Linked DNA regions of Coturnix japonica. The protein of the gene in region 2 interacts with the protein of the main gene of each other region in a biochemical or structural test. Links are inferred from orthologs where the notes say so. Each region holds a gene or a part of one and is shown on either strand. Other genes may lie near its edges.

Region 1 (3,518 bases), on a different chromosome or scaffold from region 2:
CCTTACATTCTGTAAAATACCAACGTAGGTTTTGTAAGCTTGCATCCTGGCAGGGCTTCCAGAACACAAAGAACTTGTGCTGCCCCAGTAGCAATATGCCCATGTGCTTATTTCACATTTGGGCCATTCAAGGTGATGTTGTGGTTGAAGCAGCAGTTTGGGAGAATAGCAGACACTGCAGCACTGCACTGCCATGCACGTGACTTCTGAGTGAAGCAGAGCTGTTTGTGTCCGTTATTTCATCCTTGGTGACATGGTAATGTGTTAGTTATAATCACTATCAGTGAACCGTTTTTTCTTTTATCTATTTTTCCCATGTGGAGGGAATGGGGAAATGAGGTCAACAGCTCTGTCTGGATATCTCTGTCACAAATGGTCCAACAGCTACATTAGGATGCAGTTAATCCTAGTGCCTACTGAATGTACAGTAACCAGCTGCTTCTGGTGCAGATGCCCCAGCCAAAACAACTGGAGAATCAATTTCTAGCAGTTGATAAGTTGGTTTCCCAACAGGTTCCGTTGCAAAGAATTTCTTCACGAAATCAAAGCTGCCCATCCCAGAGCTTTCTCACATCTGGTAAGTACTGTAGTAGCGTTTGGGATCTGTATCCTGTTTTTCAAAAGATACTTAATTGAAGAATTCTTTTTGAATTAAAAAAGTGTCTTCAGTTCTAATTATCGCTCTTATCTCCAGAATCATTCTCAGGCCCAAGCAGCAGGGTGCTCATTGATCTTCCTGACACGCTTGTTTTCTGCAGGGATGTTTGCCTGCTCAGCAGGACGGGGAAGGCTTGAACAGCAGCGTAACTGAGAGATGTTCCTAAGTGTGATAAAGGAACTTCATTAGCTCAACAAAATGACATTTTTCGTGTAGAGAAAGACACATTTGGAATATTTATATGTGTTGTTGGCTTTATAGTTCTGGCTTTGTTTTGTCAGATGAGGCCTAATTAATGCCTAATTTTTGGTAAGTACAACTACGTAATTCATCAATGCTTTTCTAATGAAGCACCACACTTCCTTTTAATGAACTTATTTAGAAACAATTGCAGATGGAACTGTACATGATAAAATTTGACAAGGATTCTATAATCTTTTCATAAACAACATGGTGCTTTGTAAGTCAGTGTCTTCCTTGCATCTAGGTAGGAAGACAGTTTTAATTGCTGTTCAAAAATGCTGATGAGTTTTTACTTAATATAAGCTCTTGTGAGGATAGATATGAAGAAAAGCTTGCAAGAGCCTAAACATCTATTGAGGTCCAAGAATATGTCTGGAATCTTTTCAGGGCAGATTGTAAGTCAAGAAAATAAAAGTTAAAAGCCAACAACACAACAAAGCTGCTCGGGGAAGAGAAGAGAAGGCTCTGGGGAAGCCTCATTGTGGCCTTTCAATATTTGAAGGGACTACATAAACAGGAGGGGGTATAACTGTTTACATCGGTTGATAGTGATAGGACAAGGGAGCATGGTTTTAAACTGAGACAGGGGAAATTTAGGTTAGATACAAGGAGGAATTTTTTCACTCAGAGTGTGGTGACACAGGGGAACAGGTTGCCCAAGGAGGCTGTGGATGCCCCATTTCTGGAGGCATTCAAGGCCAGGCTGGATGTGGCTCTGAGCAGCCTGGTCTGGTGGTTGGCAACCCTGCACATAGCAGGGAGTTGAGACCAGATAATCTTTGAGGTCCTTTTCAAGCCAGGCCATTCTATGTTTCTGTGAAAAAAAACCAACAGAAACACAACCAAAGATGCATTCTGTTAGGGGAAGTCAGTATTTGAATTTGAAGAAAAGATTATATAAGAAGAACAGATTAAGCCAATATGTTAGTAGAACACGTTGTATTTGTATTGTTCACGTAGGTTATTCTCTGCACAAAATTCAAAGAAAGCATTCCTTTCTAGTATATAATAATAATTTTGTAGTGATTTATCAATTGTTCTACTCTGTTAAGTGTGTGGGATGTTTCAGTCTTTGTCACCATGACCTCAGCAGCTTGAAAATGTAATTGTTATTTTCAAAATGTCAAAACTTATATGTTTATTTATTTTAATAACTGTAACAGTAAGATATTACTTACTTCTGGCACAGGAGTTAATTTATATAATTGAATTCTTGGATACCTGAAGCCCAGGTTTATTGTTTTGTGAGCATTCTAGAGTTAAAGGAACAAGAGATTTAATGTGCAGTTAACAATATTGGGAAACATCAAGAACTTTAATTTACCTACTTTCTTGGGGTTAGTCTTTGTTGCTGATTAAACATTTGCTGAAGTCTGTTTTTAACTTTGCTTGAACTGGCTTAAGATCCTGCATGGGTTAGTCAAAACTGCTTTCAACCATTAGAAAGTTGATTTCACCCTAAGAAATGCAAGATATGTGCAAGGGCTGCTCCAGAAATAATGCTTTCTACTTTATTATGTTGGCCCGTGATGCCAGATGTGGATGTTTGCTTTAAACTAAATGAGGAGATATTTAGATTAGACATTAAGAGGTAATTCTTTACCCAGAGGATGGTGAGGCACAGCTGCCCAGAGAAGCTGTGGTGCCCCATCCCTGGAGGTTCTCAAGGCCAGGTTGGATGGGGCCCAGGGCAGCCCTGCCCACAGCAGGGGTTGGGGCTGGGTAGGCTGTAAGGTCCCTTCCAACGCAGTCTCTTCTGTGGTACTAGGAGTTTTAATAGTTACGATCAAGTAGAAAAAATGGTGGTTGTCCTCTATCAGAATACCTGTCTTCAAAGCTTTATTTCTCCATCCTCTGTGGTTGCATGTGTACATTTCCCTGAGGGGATGGCTTGGTAAATATGTGACTGTTGTACCTGCAGGGAGCTGAGTGATGTGGATTGCGATGGGGCTCTGACACTCCCTGAGTTTTGTGCTGCTTTCCATCTGGTGGTTGCAAGGAAGAATGGTTACCAGTTGCCTGAGACACTGCCTGAGACACTGCTGCCAGACTACCTCCAAGCAGGTAATGTACCTGCAACAGGTTTAAGTCCTACATCCTCCTCAGAAACTCACAATGCTTGTAAACAGGGTTTAATTTTCCACATTGCAGGTGGAGCTGAGTTCATTGCGTAGTGGCTCCCCACTTGGTTTTTAAGGCATGTGTTTCTAATTTGTGTTTATGATGCAGTTGTTGAAGAGTGGATGTATGAAAGCACAAAACAACAGTGTGACATGTAACAGTTACCTGCCTCTGTCTGATTGTCTGCTCCAGTGTACTTTAGGCTCTATTGTAGCAAAAGTGGCAGATGATTATGTGTAGCTATGATAATGCAGCAAGACAAGCAAGGCTTTTAACTCTTAGTTATTTTTTCTTATATATCTGTTTTTTGAAGATGTGTTTAAAGCAGGACTGGACTGCTTTAGAAATTACTGAATGCAATATGTTGTTGCATTCAGTCACCAGTTGTATGAAAGGGTGCTTTTTGTTTTAACTCATGTTATGTAATCCACAGCTTCTGCTGTAATTAATTTTTGCTAATGACGGGGATTACAACAGTTTGTGAAAAACAAGGATA
Region 2 (3,518 bases):
GCTCTGTTATTCAAGAGGCTGTTTTTAGTCAGTGTACCTGCCTTGTCTGTTGCACTGCACCGCTTGGCAGAAAAGCAATGAAAAATAAAGCAACAAAACTTCTAGAGAGAGTATGATTTGAAATAATGATTTGTGTATTAATGCATGGAGTTTATTATAAATTATTGATCCACCTTGTTTTGAAGGCTGATAAAATGTGATGGATTGGGATGGCTGACTATGTGTTTTTAAGGGCTCGTCTTATATGAACAATCTTTGAGACACAAGTGGAAAGAATAAGCTTGTGTCTTCGTCTGTTTTGCTGGAACTTGAAATGTAGTAAGCTTATTTTTTTGTTTCCTTCAGGTTTTGAATGAAGAATGTGATCAGAATTGGTACAAGGCAGAACTCAATGGAAAAGATGGCTTCATTCCCAAGAACTACATAGAAATGAAACCACATCCGTAAGTAGAGCCTTGGTGGTAGTGCCTGTGTTTGGTTGGTTTTAAGCATAGATAAATTGACCTTTTCTGAAGACATTTAAACTGCTGATGGCATCTGGATCATGTGTCAGCAGTGCTGGAAGTCTTCATTAGTGCATTAGCAACCTGAGGAAATTACAAAAAGTTTGTATACTATCGTGTTTACTGAGCAATAATGAAGAGCTCTCTAAGTAGTCCAGCAGGGCATACAAAAACAAACTTCAGCCAGCTGACCAGGTGTAAGAAAGAGAGCATTCCTTTTCTTAGAGCTGGTGTCAGTGTTGTTGGAAGGAGGTGTAAGTATTTTTTCAAGAGAATTTAGAAGGAAAGTAATTGAAAATGCCTTTATATGTTAAGGATTTCACTCTTACTGCATTTCTGCTTCCCTAAATTAGATGAAATAGGGCTATTGTGAGCATGTGCTCATGAAATCATGGTAGCTTCACTGCTAGGACAAAATGTGAGAAGTTGCATAGTTTGGTAGCCTGTAGTAGATTAACAATAAATAGATGCAGTTCAGTCATTTCTGCTAGAATTCATCTGATCTCCGTGGGGATACCTGTGTTGGGCTCTTCCATAAGACAGTTCAACTCCTTAACTTTCTCTGTTTTCTTCTTGCTTACTCCACAGGTGGTTCTTCGGAAAGATTCCCCGAGCGAAGGCTGAAGAGATGTTAGGCAAACAGAGACACGATGGTGCCTTCCTTATCAGGGAGAGCGAGAGTGCTCCTGGGGACTTCTCTCTCTCGGTCAAGTAAGTAGTGCCCAGAAATAATCGTGTGGAAATCAGGGCACTTGATGCTCATTTTGACTCCTGGATAGATAAGTGATTATCAGTGCTGAGGAGCGGCAATAATCAAGATAGCATACCTATTCTTCTGGTGATAATGTATTTTTGTCTTTATTAAAGAGGAAGTACAGATAAGCTCTGTTTTGTAATGAGCCTACATGGCTGACTTGGTGGTGTGTTGCTGTCTGACTTAAGTGTTTTCAGGCACTATTTGTTAATTTGTGGATCCCATTTCTCCTTCCTCCAACTATGAACTGCCCAGTTTGTACATACTGCTTTCCATCCTCCTTTGTTCCTCTTCCATAGAACAAGTCATTATTCTCTTCTGTCTTTGGATAATACACTTCCAAATATTTTTCATGACTGCTTGGCACATGCTTTGGGGATATTCATCTTAGCCAGCACTGGGACATGGAGCTAATGAAAACAAATTCTTTTCCATTTCTCAAATGCATTCCATTAATGGAATTTCAATATAGAGGAATTTCTTTCTGTCTAGTAACATTGAAGGTAGGCAGGAACAGTTCCCATCCTTGTATAACATTTCTAGAAATGCTAACTTTTAATCAGCAGCAATTTCTGATAGTTAACATGTGAGCCATGTTTAACCATCTCACAGCTCTGTATAAGCCGCCATAAATTGAAGTATTAAAAAGTTGGAAGAGTATGGGATGTAAGGTAGCATAGGAAGGAAGGAATTCCATCCTCAGCAGCTGATTTTTATCTTTCTTAACTTTCTGTAACCTTCCCCTTTCCTTCCAGAAATGAACAGGGTTTTCTTTAGTATCTTATATTGATTATTCACGCACAGTTCCTTGTTTGCTGTATTTTTGGCTCATCTTTGGGCTGTACCCAGATTTTGTCATCCTGTACACCAGTCTTGATCCAGCCAACAAACTGAATTAAAACCACTCTTTTTAGAAAGGTGTTTATAGTTCTGCTGGGTACAATAATCTGAGCTGGAATACAAGATACGAATGGGAGCTCCATTGCAGACATCAACTTCCTTCATGAAACTTGGTTTTGACTGTAGCTCTGCTTATCTTGTCAGCTTAGTGTTGCCACCTGGTGGTAGTTTGGTTTTTTTTTTTCCTGGTGGATTAATTTAGAAAAAGCTTTCTTCCACTCACCCCCAAACAGTGATTTGCAAGATTTGAAATGATGAGAATCTCTCAGGTTGAAGAGGAAACAGCAAAGGCAGTACTCACTGATTGTTTCATGTTAACGTTGTAGCCAAGACTATGCCTGCACTTTAAGCTCTTGATGCCAGGTGGAGAATGTACTCCTCACCCATTTTCAGTGTTTTTGTTTCAGAATAAAGTAAAAATGCTAACGTGCTGTTCATCTGGAAAAACTTTGGAGTTGCACTTTACGTAGAATAAAAGTTGAATGCCATCACATGTCAAAATATAGAAGTGGAAAAGTCTGTCTGTTTTGCAATACATCATTTTTTTTTTGTAACTCCATGCTTAGAGACAGTCCTGCCGTACTTGTGGCAGTTCTTTTCCCAGCACTTTTTGTATGTTTTCAAGGGTCTGCTTCACAGCAGCCAATTGATACCTGCAATCATTGTCACCAGCTATGTCCCGAATGATTTTTGTGTTGTAAAGTCTCACAATCCTAGAAGAGTGCTCAGTGACTGTGTTCTTCTCTGTATTGTTTGCTCATTTCCCACAGGTTTGGAAATGATGTGCAGCACTTCAAGGTGCTTAGAGATGGGGCTGGCAAGTATTTCCTCTGGGTGGTGAAGTTCAATTCTTTGAACGAGCTGGTAGATTATCACAGATCCACATCTGTCTCCAGGAACCAGCAAATATTTCTACGAGATATTGAACAGGTGCCACAGGTAAGAGAACTGTTTGTTCAGAGCATATTTAAACTAATGCAACCATGGGTTGCATCTGGGATTGTATCTTGATGGTGATGGAGAAAAGCTGACTTTTTACCTGTAGGAGTTTATTTTTGGATCTTGCTGCCAGAGTTGTACTGGAAAATAATCTGGATGTTTGTGCACAGCCTACCTGCTAAAACTTAGTATCCATTTCTGGTGGTGTTACTGTTGCTGCCTGAACATTTGGCTTGTGTTAATGTTTTTGGGTACTGTTGAAATAAGATAATCCAATTCCTGTGAATTAAGAAGGTGTTTACTCCTGTTTTAGGACACAGTAAGAAAGCACAGTTATGTACTGGTTCATAGCCAGAACTGTCCCGTCCCGTCCATCCCCCCCCCCCCCAAAAGCAGTGAAATTTTGGTAGTAGTCTTGCCTG
Region 3 (3,518 bases), on a different chromosome or scaffold from region 2:
GCTTATTTAGCTGCATACATCTGCTTCAACAGTTAATCCAAATTAACTCTTCCCATATTCCAAGTGTCTCTATGCAGACAGATCACTCCTTCCAATGTTATAAGAAAAAAAACTGGAGCAACAGAATTCTTGAGCGGCAAGTTCTTAAAATAAAGCATAGCACTTCCACAGATGAACAGATGGTACAGTTCCACATTATCTTTTTTTGAGTGCCTAACTTGCCATAAGTAGGCCACAGCCATTCACTCTCAGCCACCCACACTCTCCCCACACCACAGTTCACTGAACCCTCAGATGACCTGTTTGTGACTCTGTGCTGCAAATTAGATCACTGACACCACATGTATCACAAGTATGCCCACACCTTTAATACCAAAATGAGACCTCCAGAGGGGAAAAAAATAAAAGAGGCACTCAGAGAAAAAAAACCACACAGGTAAAGCAAAGAGATACACCGTAGAACTCTCATTTATATTTCTGTACTGCTGTTGGCTCTTGTCACTCAAGTACTTTCACATTTATTTCATAAAGACTAGAAGTTTAATCTGTCACATTTTTGGAGAGAAGAGTGTACTTACTGCCAACAAAAGGGTCGGACTGGAAGAACTCTAAGCTTGCTTCAGAAACTATATCAGGCAATGGGTGAGATTCAGCATCAAATGGATCCTCCTGAAGAACCCAAAAGAAGCAAAGAAAGGTGTGAAGTCTGAGACATTTATCTCATTCTCTTATCATTTATTAACTTCTTAAAGCTGAAATGAGTTTGAATTCATCAAGACTCAACAGAGAGCCACAGCATTCCCCAGTAAAAATCAACCTGCTATATAAGATGAATGCATTTGTGGCATCATGCCCTAGTTATTTTGTGGGTTTTTTTGTTTTTACATTCATTTCTTCCTCCCTTAAATTTGAACAAACTCACTTTTCTTGTAACAGTTCCAGCTGGAGTCTCTTTGTCTTCTTCTGCAGCAGCAGTTGTTGTTTCAGGACTATTTCTTGGCTACGTAAGGATAAAAGCAATTCAATGTAAGTAAACAGAACACTACACTGCTTACTCCATTTTATAGAGCACTACACTGCTTACTCCATTTTAAGTACCAAACTGTTGTAAGGATATACTAAAGGATACCTCAAGAGGTTCATACTTAGAAAACACTGAAGTGTTTGATAAATTGAGACAAAGAAAATAGACATTTAAATAGCAAGACAGCATTCAGATTTCTGTACTATTCTTCATTCTATTTCTGCTGCACCAATTGGAAACAGCTGCTCATATTTAACATTAATTTTGCTCTTCAATTTATGACATTTAGCTTTGGAAACAAATGCACAAAAAGAATTCTGTTGCCTCTTTTTCTGTTTCTTTCTTATCAACTTCCAGATCTCTGGAATACTCCCTCAGAATAACATCCTGAAAGCTCACTTTGCAAATGCTTAAAAACAAAATACAATCAATCTTAATACATTCTTAATTTATTCCAACTTCACAGCTGCATTGCATCACAATTACACAGGCAAAACACTTTACTCACTGGGGATACGTTGTTTATTTGTTCATCTTCAGCTATGCTTTCCCTTTCAGCATTCTCATTAAGGTTAGCAGTTTCGCTGCTGCTGTTGCTGAGACTAGAATGATCCGCAGTTCCATTAACAAGTACATTCTGTGGCTGAGAGTGCCAACTAAATTGGTTACTTTCCAGTTCTTTCAGCTCAAGAAGTTTTGTCTGCACCTGTAAATGGAAATAATGCATGTGTATCAGCGCAGTAGTACATGGAAACTAGAATACAACTTAACCTTCTTAAATGTGAGATGGAAGGTATATAGCTGTAATTCTCATGCAAAATCAAGTACAATATAACTATAGAATTTCATAGAGAACTACAAAACTAATCTAGAAGAGATATGGTAGACCTGAGAATCTGCTGTGCCAAGGAAGCTGGCCATACTGCTGGTGATCACTGGCATTTTTTTCCTGTTTTTTGTATTTTAAATTATTATTTTTCCTTTTTTTTTTCCCCCTCCCTTTTCACAGTGCCTTACCGAATTGATTTCCTGTTGTGAATCTTGCAGATGTTGCTGAAGAGGTCCCAGCTGTGCTTTCCCAGACTCTATGCAATGCTCAAGCTCTGCAGTTTCTTGCTGCAGACGACTCAGCTCCTCTTGAGCTTTGGTCAGTTCATCTTCATATGCTGATATCTTTGTCTCCTGGCTTGTTATTTCAGCTTTCAGCATGGCAATCTAAAGCATAAACAAGGATTCCAAAGCCAAATTAGGAAAACAACAACAACAACAACCAACATCACCACACCAAAAATATCCCACACCTCCAAATATATCCAGCAAAGGCTAGGATTTATGACCAGATTTATGACCAGCTATAGCAGAGATTTCAGACCATACTCTACCAGAAGATTAATTTGCTATTTGTCCCAATGAGATTAAGCTGTTTTCCTGACCAATACAAATATTACTAATAGTAAAGATATATATATATATATAAAAACCACAACAAAACCAACTCTGAAATTTTATGTTAGAATTTTTTTTTTTTTAAATCCCAAGAAATCAGTCCTGGTAATTAGTGTTTCTAGTTACATATACATTGTGTTACACATTTATGTCATTTGTTTGTACACAACCTTACATGTGTGCAAACATATCTTATTGCAGTTGTTGGCGCACTGAGACATAAAGAAGTCAGTGAAATAACTGATGTCTCTGCTGGTCACAAAATCCTGAAACTCAGCCTGTTTAATCTTGAAAGATTTTTCTCCTTTCCCAACCACCACAACACACTGCAAGCATGCAATATTCAAAATGCAGCAGTTCTCCTTAAGGGCTGAAGCCACTAACTAGACCTTACCAAGTGGGCCTCCTCTGCACATTTCTGCCTGATATCATTGAGTTGCTCTTCCAACTTGGCCTTCTGCTCATCAAGATCATTGAGTATTTCCTGTGCTTCCTGTTTCTGAGCTTGCAGCTTTTGCAGATTACTGCTCTCCCGTTTTACTTCATCTTGTAGATCCTGTGATAGAACAGATTAGCTTTGCCTTTGTTCACTGCTCCTCCTCTGATCATTAACTTTCATAGTATAAATTGTGGTGATGATCAGTCAGATTTCAGAGTATCAACGTGTTACCTTTCAAAGGCTAATATTTCACGTGCATCACACAAGCTTTAATTCTAAGAGAAAAATAGTTATTTGCTTTTTCTTTCATTAAAAAAAAAAAAAAACCACAAAAACAACCCAATACATTAAAATTTCATTGAAACACTGAAGATCATACCACTAATCAGAGATTACAACTACATAATCAGTGGGAGGCAAGCTTCATTTCTGAATCCAGAAGTCATCCTTTGTTTAGGCTGCTACATTCTCTCTTCTATATTTTAGCAATAAGTTTTATTGAGCTCCTCAGTAACTGAATTCTTTATTATGTTCCTTTCCCCTCAGAAACACACACCAACAATACAAACTCATTTTAGTAGCAAGGTGAAGAAAAAAATCAGTGCCTTA

What was found.
Region 1: the proteins of GRB2 (region 2) and REPS2 form a complex in vitro, tested with the Homo sapiens proteins (2 studies listed by BioGRID and IntAct, with this or other methods). The link is inferred for Coturnix japonica from reciprocal best matches to the Homo sapiens genes GRB2 and REPS2.
Region 3: the proteins of GRB2 (region 2) and EPS15 form a complex in vitro, tested with the Homo sapiens proteins (2 studies listed by BioGRID, with this or other methods). The link is inferred for Coturnix japonica from reciprocal best matches to the Homo sapiens genes GRB2 and EPS15.

What each region holds. Positions count from the first base shown.
Region 1 is NC_029516.1:109,325,848-109,329,365, reverse strand, and holds part of REPS2 (ralBP1-associated Eps domain-containing protein 2), read left to right. Parts: intron 1-513; coding exon 514-577; intron 578-2,822; coding exon 2,823-2,965; intron 2,966-3,518. UniProt on the Homo sapiens protein: Involved in ligand-dependent receptor mediated endocytosis of the EGF and insulin receptors as part of the Ral signaling pathway. By controlling growth factor receptors endocytosis may regulate cell survival.
Region 2 is NC_029533.1:9,398,551-9,402,068, reverse strand, and holds part of GRB2 (growth factor receptor-bound protein 2), read left to right. Parts: intron 1-345; coding exon 346-443; intron 444-1,091; coding exon 1,092-1,214; intron 1,215-2,927; coding exon 2,928-3,096; intron 3,097-3,518. UniProt on the Homo sapiens protein: Non-enzymatic adapter protein that plays a pivotal role in precisely regulated signaling cascades from cell surface receptors to cellular responses, including signaling transduction and gene expression.
Region 3 is NC_029523.1:21,490,563-21,494,080, forward strand, and holds part of EPS15 (epidermal growth factor receptor substrate 15), read right to left. Parts: intron 3,027-3,518; coding exon 2,865-3,026; intron 2,240-2,864; coding exon 2,042-2,239; intron 1,731-2,041; coding exon 1,533-1,730; intron 1,001-1,532; coding exon 923-1,000; intron 670-922; coding exon 579-669; intron 1-578. UniProt on the Homo sapiens protein: Involved in cell growth regulation. May be involved in the regulation of mitogenic signals and control of cell proliferation. Involved in the internalization of ligand-inducible receptors of the receptor tyrosine kinase (RTK) type, in particular EGFR.